Linked DNA regions of Nothobranchius furzeri. The protein of the gene in region 2 purifies or fractionates together with the protein of the main gene of each other region. This does not show direct contact. Links are inferred from orthologs where the notes say so. Each region holds a gene or a part of one and is shown on either strand. Other genes may lie near its edges.

Region 1 (5,182 bases), on a different chromosome or scaffold from region 2:
CAGTGTCTGATCTCGAGTCCACTTAACAGTCTCACACTGTTCAAGAGAATTAAGATTAAAAATATATACTATTGTCTTCCAGTGTATGTTTTCTTTTTCCTACATTTTTTTCAAGTTTTAAGACACTCGACACAATGCAAGCTCAGAGATCTTTTACGCACACACACACACACACACACACACACACTCATACACACATTTATATATACTGTATTTATATATATATATATATTCATATATTAGAAGTATTCTTAGCTGAGAGGTTAGGCAAAGTATATCTTTTTTTTGTACGGAGTTCCTTCAAAATAATAAATTTAACTATTTTCTCCAGGTTCCCTTTTAAGGAGTGTAAAATCCAAGAAGACTGGGAAGCTCTACAACATCACGTGACTATCCAAGAGCAAAATAAACAGATAAAAGGCCTGAAGTTGTACAAGGCAGAGAGATGGACAGACGGCATGGCTCTCAGTGGCTTGTGCGTTCCATGAGAGGAAGAGAAAAAGGACAGCGAACATAAAATGTGCCACATAAGCCTGATGAACGGTAAAGCAATAGTGCAAGACTACAGGTCATTAGAGACTAGATTACAGTAAAGGAGTGAACCGATGGGGATTACTCTGCCTGACTCATCGGTAAACTAAGTGAGACATGGTGCCGGGTTTGAAGTTGAGCTGATGGTTGGGCACAAAGCTGTGCTGAGGATTCTTTCGGGTGCAGATGTCTTTTGCATACAAGCCCATGCATGAATCACATGACACCTTAGAGCAGTTCACACAGGTGTGTGAAGCAGCTGGCTTGTTGCAAAATCCACACCTGGACCCCCCCATGCTTAATCGCTCGCTGCTGCCTCCCTTTGGTGTCGTCAAGGCAGTAGTCTTGCTTGAAAACAACTTGGTGGGCATGAAGGGTTTCTCTATCATCTGAGGATGGGGATGAGAGAGTGAGTGGGTTAGTGTTAGAGGGTGTGGATGAAGATGGGAGTGGGAATGGGTGTTTGAGTAGACAGAAAGCTTTTCCTTGACAGGAAGGTATCCATCAAGGGGTCGTGGGGATTTGGGGTGGTAGTCCTGGAGGCCACAGCAAGGGGATGGGTCCACATCATGACAGGAAGGGCAAAGAATCATGTCACACCTATGGCAGGAAGTCATTGTGGAGCACCCTAGTCCACAACTCTGGCACTTGATATTACCATGACCTTTGAGCAGCCAGCCATCTCGAGGCTCTCTGGAAGGCGGTCGCAATGGAGTCTGCCTTCCTCCTGTCCCTGCACTGCCCTTCTCGGTGTATAAATCAATCTCATCCAGAGAGGCCAGGTGGTAAGACGCGTAGGGGTCAGCTGGGGTGGGTGAAGGAACTGGGAAAAAGTCTGCAACGGGGCTATAAGAAGGTGGAGCAGCGACAGAGAAAAAAGATGCCGGGGTGCTGGGCCTGATGATCTCATCCTTCATATCCTCCTCTGCATCCACAAACAGGGGCTCCTTTCTTAGACTCAACGAGGCCTTCAGAACAGGCTTGTTAACAGCTGGGTGCCAGTGACCAGCCCCATCTGTAACATCCACAGACTTGGATGGTCGGCTACCTCGTCTCAGCTGATGCGCATGAGGTTTCTCTATATCCAGTGGTCGCACAGACAACCGAGCCATGTCTGCCCCAAGGCTGTCACGTCTTCGCAGAGCCTCGGCACAGCCAGCGGCATCATCTCTGCAACCTCTGCGGAGTTCCAGAGCCTCCAGCTCTGAAGCTGAACCACGAGCAAGAGCCACCACCTCCCCCAGAAGACGACACTCGGCCTGGGCCAAAAACAGCTCAAACGCTAACTGGCGGAGATAATTTGTGTCCCCCGTGAGATCCTGCAAAGTAAACTTAGAATCGTGGTCACAGGAATATCCAATGGTGCGCATCAAAGTTCGGAGTTCAGCATCAAAGATGGCGGACTGCAAGTGGTACACATACGGTCCAGTGAAGGTCTAAAAGACAAAAGGACATCATTAGTGAGTCTGTGAAAGAAGAACAGTCTCTGTCTACATGACACCAAATATAGTTAAGGTTCTATTTACATGTTATTGAGGCTGAGTTACACGGAAACATGTTTTAGGAGATTTCCTTATAAAAGAAACTTGTAGAAAACTGTAGCAGTGACCAATTAGAATGCATGAAAAGAGCTCAGCTTTATGTCCTTCTCCATATCTAACAGTTACATAAATGGTACAGAGCATGCATGTTGACTAGAAGACTTGTTTTTTAATGGCTCTTCAAAAACCAACTGGCTTTAGACAAAATACAGAAGCTTCTATGGAGTTATGTTACAGTCTGGCGGCTGTTTTTGTATAAAGAACTCTTTCAAGGTGCAGCTACCCAGTTGAGTGAAGAGTTGTGCTCAACTGGATAGTTGGGACCAAAGACAGTGATGAAGACAGATACATTTGTTCGCTGTTGTATTGATAAGTGTATTAACAAGGTGAAATATTGGTGAGTTGTCTCCATTTTTAAGTTCCTGCTCTTGCTGCCAAGTTCCTGCCTTAGTTACTGCTTTGCATCAATCACAGCCTGAAAAACATGGGCTTTTCATTGGTTTGTTGCGTAACATGAACAGACTTATTCACTGCTGTTCTGTATACAGCAAAGATGTAAAGAGAACAGCTGATATTAATCAGTGCTAGCAGATTTCTGTTGTCTTTTGAAACCCTTGCTACTGAAACTGATACATTTAAATAACAGTCAACAGCATAATTTGAAACTCTTGTCTTGCAAGTTTATTTTGGAATATTTAAAATTAATTTACTGGAGATTTTCTGCCATAAGCAGGTATAATATTCAGTAACACTCACCTTAATACATCTGAACTCTTTCTTCCAAGGAAAGAGCAAGAGGTTGGTACAGATGGTTTCCAGTGTATTGAAAGCTCTCTCCAGGCTCTTCAGGTTGCTTCCTCTCTGGTAGCGGAGTGAGTTCTCCACCACCTCATAGAATCGCACCATGCGAAATCGCTGTCCAGGATCTGGCTGGTAAGCCCCAAGAAGAGCTGTAGCCGTGGAAAGCAGTGCCTCACTGTCTTTGTTTCTACTTTTGTCCCCATCCAGTGTAGTTCCAGCCCCTGTACTGGCTCCCCCCTCCTCCAGGCGCCTTTCCAATGCTGTAACATACCTCCGAAACAGGTCCTCTTTTAACTTGGCATCCATTATTTGCCGCAGATGATCATTCAGCTGCCAAAATTCCCTGTGCAAGCCTCACCCCTTTAGCCACTCCCTGCACTAGGATGCTACATTTGAGCATCATTTTAAGCCACCATAACTCACAGCACACACGGATGCTCACTGAATTCTAATGATCAGTAGAGATGGCAAAGAAGAGAGACCTTGAATCCAGTCAGAAGAACATCCTCTGTTAGTGATATGCAGCTTTGTGGAGGCTTTTAGTGAGTGTGGCTAGGCTGCAGCCTGTATGGATGCCTCAGAATGGACATCTCCAGTAAAACTAAGCTCAACTGGTTTCCAAACAAATACGTTTGTGTGATGCAAAACAAAATTGGGTAGATCACTTTATCAGTCAGTTTGAAGTTGAGTGGAATCCAGTCTTTGGTTTCAGGAATACTGGAGTCTTCTAAGCCAAATCCAAGCTGTAATGATGCATAAAAAAATAATTACGTTAATGGAATGCACAACACTTACGTTTGAGATCATTTACTCCACTAGAAATACATTAATAGGCATGGCCTGAAAAAAACAAAAAGACAGTTAATCTGTTACAGCAAGTCTGCAGAACAAGATTGGTTTTGAATGCAAACACAGTCATGGAACACCCACCCCGCCTCCTCGGGTATCTACCCTGAGACGCTTCTGCCGCAACCGAAAACGTGATGCCAGAGCAAACAAGAGCGTGCTAAACACCAGATGCATTGTCTAGGTCCAAACATTTTTTGTTGTGACTTCAAATGGTGTTTTTCTTTTTAGGAGTTTATCCTAAAGTTGAAGTTGTAGCAACCGGCTGTTTCTCATTCTCTGGTATTACTGAGCAGAGAACCTCTCATACTAGTGGTGTTCTGTTGCAAAATACATGGATGTGTAATGAATGGAAAACACAGGAAAGCGCAGCAGTTCAGCGAGACCAACGACCGGATGGTGCAATGGTTGCTTTCAGTCTGAAACATGTTATTGGCAGAGGTTTGTAGACAAATGCGAGAAAACTACTTTCTTTTTTCTCCACAATGTATTTATAGCTATACTATGCTAGAACATTATTAAGAAGCTCGAAAGAATATTTTAAACTAATTTATTTTCCAAATTTGCTATAGCAGATTTAAACTGAGGTATCGACCTTAGTGTTGAGTGGGAAGTTGATTGCTTTATTCATACACCGAACAGTTGACCTGGTTTAGGTCATCATCATTATGGATACAACCCTGAAAGAAACCAATGCGTAGATTCGAAGAAACAGGTTAACCCATTTGCTCTTTGTTTTCGTTTGGAAAATGGTATTGGAAATGGTAACCTGTCAAAGAAAGTTAGAGTGGTTGGCTTTGATCTCTTTTATCTAATAATATCAAATCAGATATGTGAAAACAGGACAATCTAAATGCGTTATGATGCTTCAAACTAAAACTATTTGGAAGTGTCCGTCATCCCAAAGAATTATTGCTGGTTATTCCAGTTTAATCATACGAGGAACATGTTACGAGCTAGCAAGCAACGTTAGCACTTTCTCACGAAGAATCGCTTGCGAAGCAACCATTAACTATCCCTAATCATTAACAAAAACCACACCAACAGCTACCACACTGACTTTCCACCTCAAACCGATTTAGTCTTCAGCATTAACGCGAATCTACGCCAAGCAGTGAACGCCCATTTAAGCGCAGCTGGCTAGCTAACAGGGCGTTCCATTGCTACCCGGACATACTTCACCCAGTTACAGTCAACTATCAACACATAAACAGCTACAATAGCATTATTAATATACGAGAGACTATAACTAAGTTTCTCGTAGAAGCCACACGACGTCTTAAATACTAGAACCTATTAATCTTACCTTTGACAAGAGTTAGCCACATGCTAAGCTACGCCTCCTCAGCTCTTGAAAATTCGCTTCATCGTCATGCGCATGCGTAGGATACTGACGACTTTACGTCATCTTTAGCCCTAGTGAAAAGACCAATGACTGTAGAGACTGTAGACCGTATATTAAT
Region 2 (4,685 bases):
AATCAAACCCAGGTCTTCCGCACGAGAGTCCGACGTCTAACTAGGTGAGCTACACACCAGTGACGTCTTGTGTATCTGTAACATTTATATCCTTGAAACAACGTCCAAAGAACGGTTCGGAGTGAAAATGGCTGTTTTGTTGCTAATTAGCAGGAAATATCTAGAAGAAAGTTCTACAGAAAGTAGCTAAGGGTCCTCAGAAATGTAGCTAGCTTTGTCACTAGGCGTTAGGAACAGCGACAAAGTGGCACTGCCTCTCTCTCTGCTGCTAAAGCTACGGATAGCAAATGCTACGGGCGATGCCTGAGCGTGAACGCGCATGAAGCAGCCTGCTCGACCCGAGCATCTCTCTTTTTCTGTGATTTTACAGAAAAACAGGCCCGAGCCCAGTGACATACGGGCTTTACCTGTTAAACACCTGTCGAACTCGCTCCTCTCTAAAGTTGCAGGTGGGTTTTTCCCGACGGTCGGGTCGGGACTAATCAGGCCCAGGTCACTGTCACGTTCAGCCCTACATCTGTTGTGAGTCCGATTTTTTCCTCGTGGTGACCCCAGTCTCAGGGGTCGTGTAGCATTTCATCCAGGGAGGTTTCATGTTTCCCTTTTCACGTAAGCCGGGCGTACACTGTGTGACTTTTTCACTTTTTTGAGCCGATTTTCCACTCGTGCGAGAATCCACAAGATCGGGGCGAGTTTAGCGCCGAGCGTCGTGTAGTGTACAGGGGTTACGAGAGGCGATTAACACCACGTGACCAGCTACCGATCAGCAATCGTGAGCTCGCACAGACTTCTGGAGTTTCTAATATTTTGCTCGTCCCTCGTGAGGGTATCGCACTGTTGAAGCGGCGCTGCGAGCAGCTGCGACCCAAAAAGTACCAGAACCGCTCACGGCGCATGCGCAATCCTGCATCAACACCGCTCGCCCGCTATTTCCCTAATAACACACGCTGTTCGTTTTTGTTTCTACACGTTTTTTACTCACAAAGATTGTCAAGAAAGCGTGTTTGTCGTGTTCATGTCAAATTAAACTGATCACAAAACACAGATTTACTTTCTTTATTTGGTTTTCCTCATCCAACCCCCATAAATCCCTGTGTGTCCTCCTGCAGCACTCCTGAAGGACAACAGGCAAGACAAAAAAGTCTGACGTGTTGAGTAAAAACTGCTATTTTTAGCATATTTCTAGGTCCGACGTGTTGCTACCAGACGTGCAGTGTGAGCACATGACTCGTGAGATCTACCCTGCGAGGAAGTCGTACAGTTTGAACTGAAGCTGAGTGCTACGAGTGAAAAAGTCGCACAGTGTCCGCCCAGCTTAAGTTATCCTTTTATTGGCTCAGATTATGAAACTCACCTGCAGGTTCACGTCTTCTTCAAGGCCGCTGTCAGAGGCCGGGTCCAGTCATGATTAAGCACCAAATAAAACTGCAAAATAACTGCAACTGAACATCAAGACCTGCAAAAACAAAGAAACTTTGTGCTTAAGGTTAAACGTGTTACCCTGCAGCTCACCTCCGGTTCCTGGCCTCTCGTTCGTCACAGCAGCGACTCGCACGCCCGCTGCTGTGGTTAAAATATTCATTGTAAACATCAGAGCAAAATGCGGATGGCCAGAAGAAGCCAGATTTATTTGATTACATCCAGATTTGACAACGCTATAGCTCGTTTAGGAGAGAGCTCCTTGGGTTGTTCTGTTTAAATCGAACCATGACATAAACAATAAAGCATAAAACATGTTGCCATATCTTGCAGATCTGCTGTGGCCGTGGAATAATCTTCATAAACCATGAAACTATGCTTTTGTCTTTTCGTACGAGCTAACCGTTTACCTAAAGTCATCATGAGGATTTGAACATATTTTTGTTTTAATGTATTTTAACATAAAGGAGAACTTTTTAGAGCAGGTCTCACCTGTAACACCGTGGTACCAGCAGGGGCGCCTCCAGAAAATTTTGATAGGGGTGGCCAGATGGGGCCCAAGAAATTTTTGGGGTGGCACACCAAACTGGTCCTTGTGGCAACTCTGGTTGAATTTAGTGTGTGGCGATGTGCTGCATTGCGCCTTTATTCGTTTTTATTAAAATACGAGTACGTATCCAAAACACTTAAATTTTACAAACACAAACATTTCAGTTATTTAAAATGTTATCCCAAATTTAATTTAAAAATGTATTTTTTTAGGTTAATTCACCTGCTGCTGTGTTCACAAAAAAACAAACTATGGAAATAAAAACTTTTTTAGAATGGTGAGCTGCAGAATCATGCTTTCTTTTCTCATTAATTGTAATTTTTTATTTTGTTTTACAATTATGTCTTGTTCTCGACCGGAAAAGGGTGGCTTGCCAACTCCGGGTCGAGGGAGAGGTCCTACCTCAAGTGGAGGAGTTTAAGTATCTCGGGGTCTTGTTCACGAGTGAGGGTAGGAGGGATCGGGAGATCGACAGGCGGATTGGTTCGGCGTCTGCAGCGATGCGGACGCTGGGCCGATCTGTCGTGGGGAAGAGGGAGCTGATCCAGAAAGCCAGGCTCTCGATTTACCGGTCGATCTACGTCCCAATCCTCACCTATGGTCATGAGCTTTGGGTAATGACCGAAAGAACGAGATCGCGGATACAAGCGGCCGAAATGAGTTTCCTCCGTAGGGTGGCCGGGCTCAGCCTTAGAGATAGGGTGAGGAGCTCGGACATTCGGGAAGGACTCGGAGTAGAACCGCTGCTCCTCCGGATCGAAAGGAGCCAGTTGAGGTGGTTTGGGCATCTGGTCAGGGTGCCTCCTGGACGCCTCCCTGGGGAGGTGTTTCGGGCATGTCCTGCCGGCAGGAGGCCCCCGGGTCGACCCAGGACACGTTGGAGAGGTTACATCTCCAATCTGGTCCGGGAACGCCTTGGGGTCCTGCCGGAGGAGCTGGTGGAGGTGGCCGGGGAGAGGACGGTCTGGAGCTCCCTAGTTGGGATGCTGCCCCCGCGACCCGGACCCGGATAAGCAGAGGAAGACGACGACGACTAATTATGTCTTGAATAAACAAGATCAATATATGGTTTGACTGAACATTAATATGATTTGTTAACACTGCCCTTTCTGGGTGGGGGGCAGCAGTTTTCTAGGGGTGGCCATGGCCACCCCTGGCCACAACTTGGGGGCAACCTTGGATACCACCTGGGTAAATAAATGTGTTTATCATCATTTCTTCCTCCCTCAGGCTCCCTCTTGCCTTATCATTCAAATGCCTCGATTTGGAAAGGACTTCAAAATGTTCAACAAGATCTTTCCCTCCTTGGAGTTGGACATCACAGACCTTCTGGAGGACAGTGAGTTGTTTTCCATTTCCGTAGAGGCGATTGGAAGCCGGGTGGGGTCTTATAACAAAGTTTCTCTCTTTTGAAATTTTAGCTCCAAGAGAGTGTCGCATCTGCGGCGGCCTGGCTCTCTACGAGTGCAGAGACTGTTATGAGGACGGGGACATCACGGCCGGCAAGATTAAGCAGTTCTGTGAAAAGTGCAACACACAGGTAATCAGTTAGCCTGTCGTCCACCAGGTGGCGCCAAATCCAAAGGAATCCCATCGTCTGTTGTGCTGCAGAGTTCTTCATCTTCAGTTAGAACTTTCTGGTGTTTTAATGTTGTTTATGCTTTTTAGTCTGTTTTTTTATTAAACCACACGAAGGATTTGGGACGATGTCTGGTTGTGCTCATTTAGGTTCACCTCCACCCGAAGAGGAAAACTCACCGACACAGCAAACTGTCCGTCCCCAAGGAGCTGCAGGAGGGTACAGGACGTCAGGGCACTTTCCCCCGCCAGCGGATGGAGCTGTTCGCCGTGCTGTGCATCGAAACCAGCCACTATGTGGCCTTCGTCAAGTACGGCGCCGCCGACTCTGCCTGGCTCTTCTTTGACAGCATGGCTGACCGCGACGGTGGGTGTCCCCGGATCCTGGATTCTCCTGTTTGGTCTCACGAGAGGAACTTTAAACCAACATCAGGAGTTTAGATTTTTAAAAGCTTCCATCTTGTTTCTCCAGGTGGACAGAACGGTTTCAACATCCCTCAGGTGTCTCCCTGTCCAGAGGTGGAAGCCTACCTGAAGATGACCCCTGAGGAGCTGCACACCTTAGACCCCAAGAGCATCCAGGGCCAGGCACGCCGCCTGCTCTGTGACGCTTACATGTGCATGTATCAGAGCCCGACCATGAGCCTGTACAAGTAGAACCCCACACACACACACACACACACACACACACCGCCACCACCTCTCCTCCTCTGCACCGCTCCCTCTGGCCAGCAGCTTCCCTGAACGACCAGAACTTTACAGCATGAACCGAAGGAGGTGTCTGCCACCAGGGGGCTGCCCTGAGGAACCCACCCACGTCTCCTCAGCGCCGGCCCGCTTCTGGAGGTCAGAGAGGCGAAGGAGAGCGCGAGAAGCCTATTTGCACTGTGCATAAGTGTTGTGTTCATCGCGTAGTCCTATGTAGCTTCCCTGCGTCTCCCAGCTGAGCGACGGTCGGCTTTCCGAGGAGTCACTCCCTGCTCAGGGAGGAAGGAGACGGGCGGAAGGCCGCTCTGCAGGAAAAACAGAAGGAGCTGGTGGGAGGACCTCGCTCACCTCATTTACCTTAAGAAAAGAGGAGTCCTGCTATTCTTAATCACTGTAAAGATGGGAGCTTTTCACGAGCGCACGTTTAGGA
Region 3 (5,409 bases), on a different chromosome or scaffold from region 2:
ACATAATTTCAGTCCGCATCATACTCCTCTCTGGAATTGTAGATACATCACCTCAAGAAATAACTCAATATTTTATCCAAACTGGGTGGAAAAGGATATCTGGTCTGTTTTACACTTGTTACACTGTTGTCTCATGAACTACTTAGCTCCAAATTCAAGCTGACTGTTAAGGAACAATATCAGGTTATAAAAGCAATTCCAAGTCCTGTCTTGTCAATCTCCTCCAATTTACATCACAATAACATTAGTCCAAAGCTCCCTGGACTTATGCTTAATGGATGTTCTATTACTGACAAAAAGTTATCCAATATTGTAGTAAGACAGTTATTTAGTCAACTGCATCCATTCTTAGCCAACAGATCATTAGCTTCTCACCTACAATCTTATGAAATAGAAAAAAAAGCAAGGAGTTTTTTTTCAAGCTTCCAGTTGCTCCAAAGATAAAAGAGATGCTGTTTAAAATTATTAATAGCATTTATCCATCTGGAGAGCTTTTGAGACATCGATTTAACTTGGAACATAATGGCTGCTCATTTTGTAATGCAGACAGAAACCACTGAGCATCTGCTTTTTGACTGAATTTGTAAAGACTTTTTGGAGTGAATTAGAGAATTGGTTGGCTTTGAGGCTATGTAATCCACCAAAACTTTCTAAAAAAACGTGTTAATCGGTTGTTTTACAACCAAGGACAATATTTATATTGCTTTAAATGTTATAATTATCCATGGATGTTATATACACAAATGCCGTTATGCTAAAACCTACCCTAATTTCATTGCATTTTATAAAGAATTAGTACATTACTTCTCTTTTTTGAAATCCATGAAAGGCTCCAAAGCCTAAGAAATACAAACTAAATGCTAACCCCTAGCACATTTATTGAATGATGTTTTGCACTTTAATAGTTGTTTTACTGTCATTTTGTCTATTTCATTTAATTTGTATTTTATTTATATTATGTTTGTTTATTATTTATTTACTTTTCCTCAGTTTATTTCTCTTGTCTGCTTGTATTTCCAGTTAAGAAGGGAATATTGTAATGTGCCATGTTTTGTTGATTAATAAACAGATTTTAAAAAATCATCCAAGGATCATGCACGTTTTGACTGTAGGGCCTTTGGTTAGGGAGCCGGTAGCTGAAACGCATTGACCTTCGCAATAGCGCCACCTAGAGTTTTGTGGGTATGAATTTTGGAATCATAGTAGCAGTCAGGTTTTTCTATCAGACTGCCATGTTACATTTTTTCTGGCATTTTCAGGCTCCTGCAGCCATATAGAATTAGCGGAAAAGAATAATGAATAACAATAAATAATGAAAAATCCGTTGAAAAACAACAGGGTTCCCTGCCCGTTGTCGCTTCATGCTGTTGTGATTTTCCTGTGCTGTAATGAGCGCATCCTCCTGGTGGAGCTGCTGTGCTTCCGCGAAGAAAAACAGTCGGAGGAAGCCAGCTAGACGAGCCGAGGGAAAGTTATGGACAGACGTTTTCTAAAGATGGACGTTATTCTTCGGCTTCCCGTGCAGAAATAGTAGGAGCTATCCCCATGTCTACGGAGCCGGCCTCGGTAACATCTACGAGAAAGGGCTGGATTTAAGCCCCGGCAGCTACGTTTAGCAACCAGGCTCGGAAGCTAATGTAAGCAAGCTAATTCACACCGTAGGCCTTGATAACTAAATTGTTTTGTTTAAGTGTCATGTTGTTTGTGCATTTCTCTTATTAACACCGTACTGATGCTCCAGGACTTGTTATCCAGCCTTCTGTGCAACTTAAAGCACGTTGTAGCCTTTGGTTGGTGGTTTTGTTGCAGCTGTGCTAGTTTTAGCTCTGCTGGCTAGCCAGCTGATGGAAGCTAGCGTGCTGTTTACCATGTTTGACAGCTCGCAAAAGGAATGTGGAGCGAAACGCAGTTCCGGTACATCAGTGCGTTCATTTTTTGTTTTTGTTTTTCTGATTGGTATTGACACGTTTCCGTTGTCCACTGTCTTCTTTTCTCTGATTAGTTACTAGCTTGTTTTAGCTAGTAATGTCTCAGACGCTACCACCTTCCGATATGCTGGAAACGCCACCTGGATATCCATTTGAAGAGATCAATTATGAGGATATTGAAGTGGAGGAGGTGAGTTATGTTTGGTCCGTGTGGCCATGGATGAGGGTGTTAACGGAGTTGTCCTAAACGTGATCGCCTGTATCTGTCCCTGTGAAGGTGGTGGGCAGAGGTGCGTTCGGGGTGGTCTGCAAAGCCAAGTGGAAAGGCAAAGATGTTGCAATCAAGACCATCGAGAGTGAGTCGGAGAGGAAAGCCTTTATTGTTGAGGTACTGTTACTCTATTATTATTGTTGTTGTTATTGTTATTATTGTTGTTATTATTGGTGCAGAGTCGACCAGGTCCACTGATGCACCAAGATGTGACTGCTGGTTTGGTGTTAGTGGCAAATGTCTGACACATCATACAGCTCTCAGCCATAAGATAATGACCACCTGTATGGTCTGAGTAAATCCTGCTTTTCTACTAGAGCACTGCAGACGTTAGAGGCCTGAACAGTGACATCACTAGACGTTTGTTTCTGGAGGATGTTGTGAGGCGAGGCCTTCATGGATGGGTTGATTTGGATGTGAAGACTCTAAAAACATCCATAAACATCTCTAACCACTTCTGTTAGGTCACCTGGTTCTTGTTCTTCTGCAGGCTTTTCCTCTTAACTCTTTCACTGCCATTGACGACTAAAGTCGTCATTTGCATTTTTTTTACTGTGTAGGCATCGGAACGAGCCCCTGCGCCGAAAGAACAAACATCTCAGCTCTGAAGCCGATCTTCATTCGCATACGTCACACGTCACATGATCAGGACGGAGAAAATCCATGTGTTAGGAGATTGCTTTGGGCCATTCCTGTAAAAAAAAAAAGTGAGGCGCGAACCGGAAAAGCGTCTGCCCATCACAGTTCGACAACGAGTTATGAAAGAACGGATAACGCTCGAAACGTGCAGATTCTTCCTGATGTAAGAGATGAGTCTCATCTTTGTTTTGGTTGTTTTGGCATCGACATCATCCTAGCGCGCAACGTTCTGTCACTCTTAAAAAACAGTAAAAACGGTGAGAAACGCTGGCAGCGAAGGCCGTTAACGATCAGGAAACGGCTGGCAGTGAATGAGTTAAAGGGAAGTGTCCCCTCTTCTCTTACACCATACTGAAGTGTAATCAGTGTAATCTGCCCATTTCGTTCTTTACTGTGCACTAAAATATCTGAGATTGAGTCATATAAAACTTTCAGATCAAAAAGCTAATTTCAAAGTCTGATAAGGATAACCTGAGTCAATAAAATGTTTTTTTCTGATGGTTTCATTATTAGAGGAACAGAGCTATCCCGACCACCCCGGTCCGGCGTGATAAAACAAACCTCACAAGTAGCAAACACCCCCGGTGTCACATCAGATGATTTGGATCCAAGGATTCAGCCAATACTCAGAAAGGTCAAAATACAAATGTATGTAAAGCAAATTAAATAAATCAGGAATGGTTTTAAGATTAACTTGGTTTGACACAACAGATATAGCTTAGCTTGACGACTAGACCACGACTAGATTAGAATTCATGTTGGACTCCCTTGACTGAGACCTGCTGATTCTGGCCTGGTTCGTAGCGAGTTAGTGGGCTGATCTGGCACTCACCAATAGCTGCAGGGAGCTTTTATCACCGTAATACAGATGGAAATATCAAGATGTCTCAGGTGAGCTTCGATGAGGTGAGTGCAGAGAGATCAGGAACTGAAGTCCTGACACTAAGAGGCTCCACCTGGGTCCGGTGTCTGTGATAACTCCTATTGAGTCTCATGCCAAGCCAACTTTATTTGTGTACAACCTTAAACAATAACAGTAAAAACAATAAAAATGCATAAAAACTAAAACTTGAGGACTAAAAGTAAAAGACTCATGCTAAGTTAAAAGTGGGTTTTCTAGAGATTTCTGTCACCTCTAAACTGGCGTCTCGTTGTCGGGACTTCCAGGAGCTTCCTATCAGCCGACCTCAGACCGTGCAGGGGAGTTAAAAACCAGTAGCTCAGAGAGGTCATCTGGAGCAAGGCCGTAAAGATTTAAAAGCCCATAAAAGCACCTTGTACTGGATTCAAAAACAAGCAGGTAGCCAGTGCAGTGAGGCCAGGACAGGAGTAACGTGCACCGTCATTTTCGTCCCATCGATAAGCCGTGCAGCAGCATCCTGCACCAACTGAAGACGCCAGAGGTGGGATTGTGAAACACCAAACTCTCAGTGTGTTCACATGCGCGTCAGAAAACTGAACTTTTGCCCTAAGTAGACTGACGTTGTTGATTTTTAAACTCATGTAAACTTGTAAGTCTCGTTGAACGTGAACTGGTTCTAGTCGTCCTGAAGCACCCAGATAATGTAGTGGGAGCCCAACTTCATCTGTGTGTAAGCGCCTCCATCGAGCTGATGACGGTAACTTTCAGACTTGACGAGACGCAGAAGAGGTCTTCTGATATCATCGCCACAAAGTCGCACGTGTAACAGCATCACAGATCAGCTGTGCCGCAGCGTTGTTGTCCATTCGGCCATTGTTCATATCCTGTTTTAACTCTGTCTGCTTCACTCCCACCAGCGTTTGTTTGCTATTTGTGTTGCTATAAGTTAACCGGAAGAACGCCTACACAATAGGGCGCATGTCGCCTCCAACTGTACCGGAACGGTACTAACGTCTTTACGGGGGTTGGTTTTCTAACGTACAGGTAAACTAGGAGAAAGGCTCCCAGTTTATTTTAGATCCATTCAGATGTGCGTGTAAACACGCTGAGTGGTACATCAGAGGGGTTTCCAGCAGGAACGGCCTGTTTAAGGTCAAAGGTCAGACGTTCTCTTTCAGGATGCTCTGCCAGAGCATGGTTCCAGCAGGTCCTTTGTGTTCTTCCTCACTTGACTCATGACCTCTGACCTTAACATTAGCCAAGTGACACCTGTAGGTAGGATGGGCCCAACATCTATAAATCGTGATATAATTTAAAGCACGTGCGGTAACACGACGTATTCTTTTCATTAGTTTATTTGTCCAAATAACCTTTCTGAACAATCTCTCACACCAGATGAGCGGCACCAGAACAAGTGCTGATGAAAAGGACAGAATGCCACTTAAAAACCGTTTAACGTGACAAAACGTCTCAAATGACTTTTATGTTCTTAAGGTTCTTTTTTCAAACTTTTCATCACAAATATTCTCATGACGTGAATAAAGATGAAGATATTTTAATGAAAAATGTAAAAACACAAATAAAATTTCTTTCTGATTAATTTAATAATTTTCAGGTTTTCTTTTGCTCATAGAAGTTTAGTGTTAGTCGTTAATAACTGCAGCTAAAACGATGCTTTGCAGCAGTTCTTTTTTGTTTGTAAAAGAGAA
Region 4 (5,181 bases), on a different chromosome or scaffold from region 2:
CAAGGGTCTGTGCTGGGGCCTCTGCTCTTCCTCCTCTATCTGCTTCGTCTTAAGCACATCCTGAGCTCCTTCAAAGGAATCTCCTACCATCTTTATGCAGATGACATCCAACTGTACATCTCCTTTAAGCTCCATGAGCTGCTGCTGTTACACACCTGCTTAGACTCTATCAAAACCTGGATGGCTGGGAGCTTTCTACAGCTGAATGAAGATAAGACTGAGATCCTTATCTGTGCCCCAGACAAGCTGGTTCCCAAAGTCAGAGACTCTCTTGGTCAGCTTGCTTCTCACACCAAACCTTCCGTCAGGAATCTTGGCGTGACCTTTGACCCAGCTCTCACCCTGCATTCTCATGTAAGTTCTTGTTCGCTCTTCCTTCTTCCATCTCAGGAACATTGCTAAGCTGAGTCCCATTCTGTCCCGCTCTGAACTTGAGACTGTTCTCCACACCTTCATCTCCTCACGCTTAGACTACTGCAACTCTCTTTTCACGTGCCTGAGCAAAACCTCCCTGAACCGTCTACAGGTGGTTCAGAATGCCTGTGCTCAGCTTCTGACCAAGTCCTCCAAACACACCCACATCACCTCGCTTCATTGGCTGCCAGTCAACTTCAGGGTTCATTTCAAGATCCTGGTTCTGGTCTATAGGGTCATGGACAAGCACCTTCTTACATTGGTGATCTTCTTAGTCCCTACACCCCCAGCAGGTCCCTGAAGTCCAGTAATCAAAGCCTACTGGTTGTGCAGCGCACCAGGCTAAAGACCAAAGGTGACAGATCATTTGCTGCTGTGGCCCCCAGACTCTGGAACTCTCTCCCCCTGAGCCTGAGATCAGTGGACTCAGTGGACTCCTTTAAAAAACAGCTGAAGACTCACCTGTTCAAGCTGGCTTTTGTACGACCTTTTTCACCACTCTCTCTTTATTCTGCTCTCCCCACCTATTCCACCTTCCTCAGGATCCACTGATTTCCCACTTTCCTATTCACTCTCTCTCTTTCTTAACATTTTTTAAATCGCAATTGTCTATTTTTTGCTCATTTTAAATGTATTTGTTACCATTTTCTAAATTCTTTTTCATGCTTTTACATTTTTTGTTTTTGTGAAGCGCCTTGTGACTTTTATCTTGAGAGGCATTATAGAAATTATATTTTCTTCTTCTTGTTCTTCTTCAAAGATGTGATAGATCATCTTAAGAAATGTTCTTTATAAAAGTGGCGATTTTACAATAAAGTTGACAATAACTTTTGATTTTGTACCTCATTATCAAACTTCTGAAAACAAAATAAATATAAAAAAATGTGTCTGTGGTTCTACTTGAAGACCAGTTGAGTAAAATTCAGTTAGCAAATTTGGCCACTAGGTGGAGGCACCGTTACATGTAAATATGAATTTCAGACGAATTAATTTATACTAAATGAAGACACATATTTAAGTTATATAACATAGTTTTTTTCAACTGCATGTATTAGAGTTTCGTTTTTAATGCCTTTTTTAGTTATTTCAAACGCTTCGCAAACATGAATCTATTAACCAGCCTGGTGTATTAATCTGTTATCAACTTGTAAGGCTGTTTGTAGTCTTAAGCATTAGTTTCGCTCATCGGTTTGTTTCGCTTTATTACTAGTAGGACGTCGAGGAAACACCGGAAATACTGAGAAAGAATATTTAAGTGAGTTTTAGGATAACTTATTGACACTTTTAATTTTATATTTGTAATTGGAATGCATAATGAGGTTACTTTACGTCGTGGTTAATGAGTTTTTAAGCTATCATTAAGCTGCTTTATGATGCGTCTTGGCATGTCTTGCTAACTCAACTCGGGGCTGTGTTTTGAAAGTTACGGGTGGTTAATTCATCGGGTCAGTGCTTTAGTTTGAACGCTGCGTTTACTTACACACACATATATATAGTAGTGTAGCTAAATGTTAACTACATTGTTATGAGTGTAAACGAGCAAAGTCGGAAGTTTTTATGTCATTTGTATCAGAAATGGCAACCGCGCCTGAAACCTCGCTTCAGATGAGCTCGTCGGATCTCATCAAAAAGAAGCCGCTGGACTACGGAGGATTTGGAGAAGTTTATTTGTGCTACCATGTCACCCTCGGCCATGTGGCGCTGAAGACTGTGTACACAGGTCCTCTACGAAGCGAGTAAGTTATTATGTTTGTTACAGAGGGAGAACATTCCCGGGTATTCCCCTCCTTGTAACTTAAATCATGTGTCCAGATTGCTGGTTACAGACAGCTGTGGCTGGACTTTTTAATTTAGCATTAAGGGAGTAGGAAGTAATACCCTGATGTGAAAATAGACAACCGATGGTAAAATAAAGTGCACTGTTTTCCTTTTATTATCACGAATCTTTGTCAGGGTCAGATATTTTATTCCACAAGAGGATGCCTCCCATCTATTTCGTAGATCAGACCTGCACAGGTGCATGTTTTGCAAAGTCTTTTCAGCATCTGAGACACATCAAAGCTTCTAAATGCAACAATCTCAAATTCTAAACTGAATTTAAGTAAATCTTTTGACAGTGATCTTATACTAATCTTCTCTGCTTCTCTCTGCGTGTGCAAGTATGAGAGTCTCAAACTCAAAGTTTGTGAAGCATCTATAATCATTCAAGAAAAGTGTGATTGTGTGACTTTTACTGAACTGTGCAGTTTGTTTACCAACAAAGAAAACAATGTCAGTATTAGAATTCTTAATTTACAACTCAGAAATGTGTGTGACATTATCAACTGTTATCAAACAATTAAATAAAAATAAAACTTTACGTATTTTTGCTATGATGAATAAAAATAAATTTAGATCAAACAGGACATTTACCACAGCATATCAGATGATCATGCTTGTTCTTCTTGTTGTTTCTATTTTATTATATATATATATATATATATATATATATATATATATATATATATATATACACCATACTCATCAGAGACAGTAAAAGGTCGCTGCTGGAGGAAGGGAATATCATGGCAAGCCTCAATCATGAGCGTGTGGTAAAGCTGCTGGGTGTGATCATGGAGGATAGCGACTGCTCTCTCGTTATGGAGCTCCTGCCCAGAGGCAACCTGCTGGTCGTGCTGAAGAAGGTCAGTCACTCTAAAAATGCCCACTTGGCTTAAAAAAGCATTTTTTTTCAACTGTTTAATAGTGAAACCTGTGTTAGGCTTCAATAGATAAGGATGTGCTTTTATAAACTGTAATATTAATACACTAAATGATTGTTTTTGTAGGTCAATGTGCCGATGTCTGTCAAGGGAAGGATCATCTTAGAGATTTTGGATGGGATGGTGTACCTCACAGAGAGGTCCATCGTCCACAAGGACATCAAGCCTGAAAACATCTTAGTGGATAATGATTTTCACATCAAGGTACACGATAATCTAACACCTATTACTTTTTATTTTATTTACACTCATTATAAAAGCTTTATTCTCTGCGTTATTTAGATCGCCGACCTCGGCCTAGCAACCTGCAAGATGTGGAGCAAGCTCACGAAACAGGAGTCTCAAAGAAGGAGTCGTAACGAGCCATCGGCTGGACTGAGAGGTGCTGGGACGCTGAGCTACATGGCGCCAGAGCACCTGAAGAGCATCCATGCCCGCTCTACTGAGAAGTCTGACGTGTACAGCTTTGCCATCGTGGTCTGGGTCATTCTCACTGGGCAAGAACCATATGAAAGTGAGCTTGAAAACATAAACCTTGTTTAATTTTATTTTTGTGCAAACATTAAAACAATCTGTCTCATTTCCAGACGCCAGGAGTGAAGAACACATGAGCCAGTGTGTCATCAACGGTGACCGACCAGCAGATCATCTCATTCCTGAAGACACGCCTGAAGAGATCATTCAGCTCATGAAGAGGTGCTGGGATCACAATCGTGAACAAAGACCAACATTTGAAGGTTTGGCATTCAGAATTGCATTTCTTAGGAAAAAGAGATGGTATCATTTTTCTTAGATTTTTTCCCCCCATGCCTAACAGGAACACATCATGTTGAGTCTCACTCAGACTGAAACTCAGATTATTATTATTATTATTATCATTATTATTATATTATTAATGTTAGATGGATCTTTTCATCCTCCCCTCTCATCTGTTTGCTCCTTTCTTGCAGAGGCTTATCGCTCTTTCCTTCCTTTGTACATGGAAAAGCTTGAACCATATGTAGAGAAAGATGTTTGCACATTAAGGGTGAGTATAGTACGGTATAATTGTGGTGGTTTTGGGAGGAACTCACTAACCCACCAAGTGATTTTAAAAGCTAAATACTGATTTTAAGTAAGGATTCAATGTTATTTTGTTACAGGAAACATACAATGGCCCAGAAGAACTGGTTGAAAGCATGAAATCATTATCAGTGACCAACGAATGTAGTCTGGCATGTGAACACGGTAGGTCCGACTCTTTACTTTGATGCTCTGTTTTACGTTTAATGTTTGAAATTTTGCAGGATGCCTAAACCCTTGAGCACCATTTCTGATTTAAGATTTTCTGATGTTTTTAGACCACCCAGCTCCTTTGATGAGCTCAGATAAAAGTATATCCATGATACCAGTTGAGGCCAGTATCGAGGACCTGCATAACATCCAGTACGACCCATACAGAGAGTTTATTCAAGCGGACGCAAGAGAAATGACCAACCGACCAGAGCTGGAGGAGAAACTGGACCGGGAGCTTCAGTACCACCAATATGGCAGCTACAACATGCACCCTGAAGCTTCCAACTACTTTCTCAAAAATCCCTCAAACCCTTTCTTGCCTAACTATGGCAGTGTCACAGATAACATTGCAAGAGGGCCAGCACAGGAAGTGTCCTCTGTTCATTCATGGACTAAAGGAGAAATGGTGCAGCCCACCAGCCCGGAGGAGGGTTTTGATCGCCTCAATTCTGGACTCAACCATTCCATTAACTCCTCCTCGGCTTATGAACCCCATCTGCACATGTCTGCTAGCACACCCTCTCTGCCACAGTTTAACCAGCATCATCCACCCCCCCAGTTTGACCGCCAGAAGTCCTGCTTAACTTATCCGGTGTCTGACACCTGTGTCCCTGATGTAACCACGGGGTGTTATCTGAACAATACAAAGTATGGCTCACAACAGGACTCAGGTACATGGAAATGTGTTTTTAGCATTCATCAGTTGTTTACTCTGACTGTTATGCAATAG

What was found.
Region 1: the proteins of cyld (region 2) and spata2 purify together in Homo sapiens (affinity purification with western blotting; 10 studies listed by BioGRID and IntAct, with this or other methods). This does not show direct contact. The link is inferred for Nothobranchius furzeri from reciprocal best matches to the Homo sapiens genes CYLD and SPATA2.
Region 3: the proteins of cyld (region 2) and map3k7 purify together in Homo sapiens (affinity purification with western blotting; 4 studies listed by BioGRID, with this or other methods). This does not show direct contact. The link is inferred for Nothobranchius furzeri from reciprocal best matches to the Homo sapiens genes CYLD and MAP3K7.
Region 4: the proteins of cyld (region 2) and ripk1l purify together in Homo sapiens (affinity purification with western blotting; 5 studies listed by BioGRID). This does not show direct contact. The link is inferred for Nothobranchius furzeri from reciprocal best matches to the Homo sapiens genes CYLD and RIPK1.

What each region holds. Positions count from the first base shown.
Region 1 is NC_091755.1:60,287,927-60,293,108, forward strand, and holds spata2 (spermatogenesis-associated protein 2), read right to left. Parts: upstream 3,411-5,182; 5' UTR 3,180-3,410; coding exon 2,829-3,179; intron 1,968-2,828; coding exon 627-1,967; 3' UTR 454-626; downstream 1-453.
Region 2 is NC_091749.1:71,008,009-71,012,693, forward strand, and holds the end of cyld (ubiquitin carboxyl-terminal hydrolase CYLD), read left to right. Parts: intron 1-3,199; coding exon 3,200-3,308; intron 3,309-3,390; coding exon 3,391-3,509; intron 3,510-3,697; coding exon 3,698-3,914; intron 3,915-4,019; coding exon 4,020-4,204; 3' UTR 4,205-4,432; downstream 4,433-4,685. UniProt on the Homo sapiens protein: Deubiquitinase that specifically cleaves 'Lys-63'- and linear 'Met-1'-linked polyubiquitin chains and is involved in NF-kappa-B activation and TNF-alpha-induced necroptosis.
Region 3 is NC_091743.1:91,283,079-91,288,487, forward strand, and holds the start of map3k7 (mitogen-activated protein kinase kinase kinase 7), read left to right. Parts: upstream 1-1,424; 5' UTR 1,425-1,637; intron 1,638-2,002; 5' UTR 2,003-2,025; coding exon 2,026-2,118; intron 2,119-2,205; coding exon 2,206-2,316; intron 2,317-5,409. UniProt on the Homo sapiens protein: Serine/threonine kinase which acts as an essential component of the MAP kinase signal transduction pathway. Plays an important role in the cascades of cellular responses evoked by changes in the environment.
Region 4 is NC_091751.1:51,504,071-51,509,251, forward strand, and holds the start of ripk1l (receptor-interacting serine/threonine-protein kinase 1), read left to right. Parts: upstream 1-1,761; 5' UTR 1,762-1,971; coding exon 1,972-2,150; intron 2,151-2,941; coding exon 2,942-3,098; intron 3,099-3,242; coding exon 3,243-3,380; intron 3,381-3,458; coding exon 3,459-3,690; intron 3,691-3,763; coding exon 3,764-3,913; intron 3,914-4,126; coding exon 4,127-4,203; intron 4,204-4,318; coding exon 4,319-4,403; intron 4,404-4,516; coding exon 4,517-5,122; intron 5,123-5,181. UniProt on the Homo sapiens protein: Serine-threonine kinase which is a key regulator of TNF-mediated apoptosis, necroptosis and inflammatory pathways.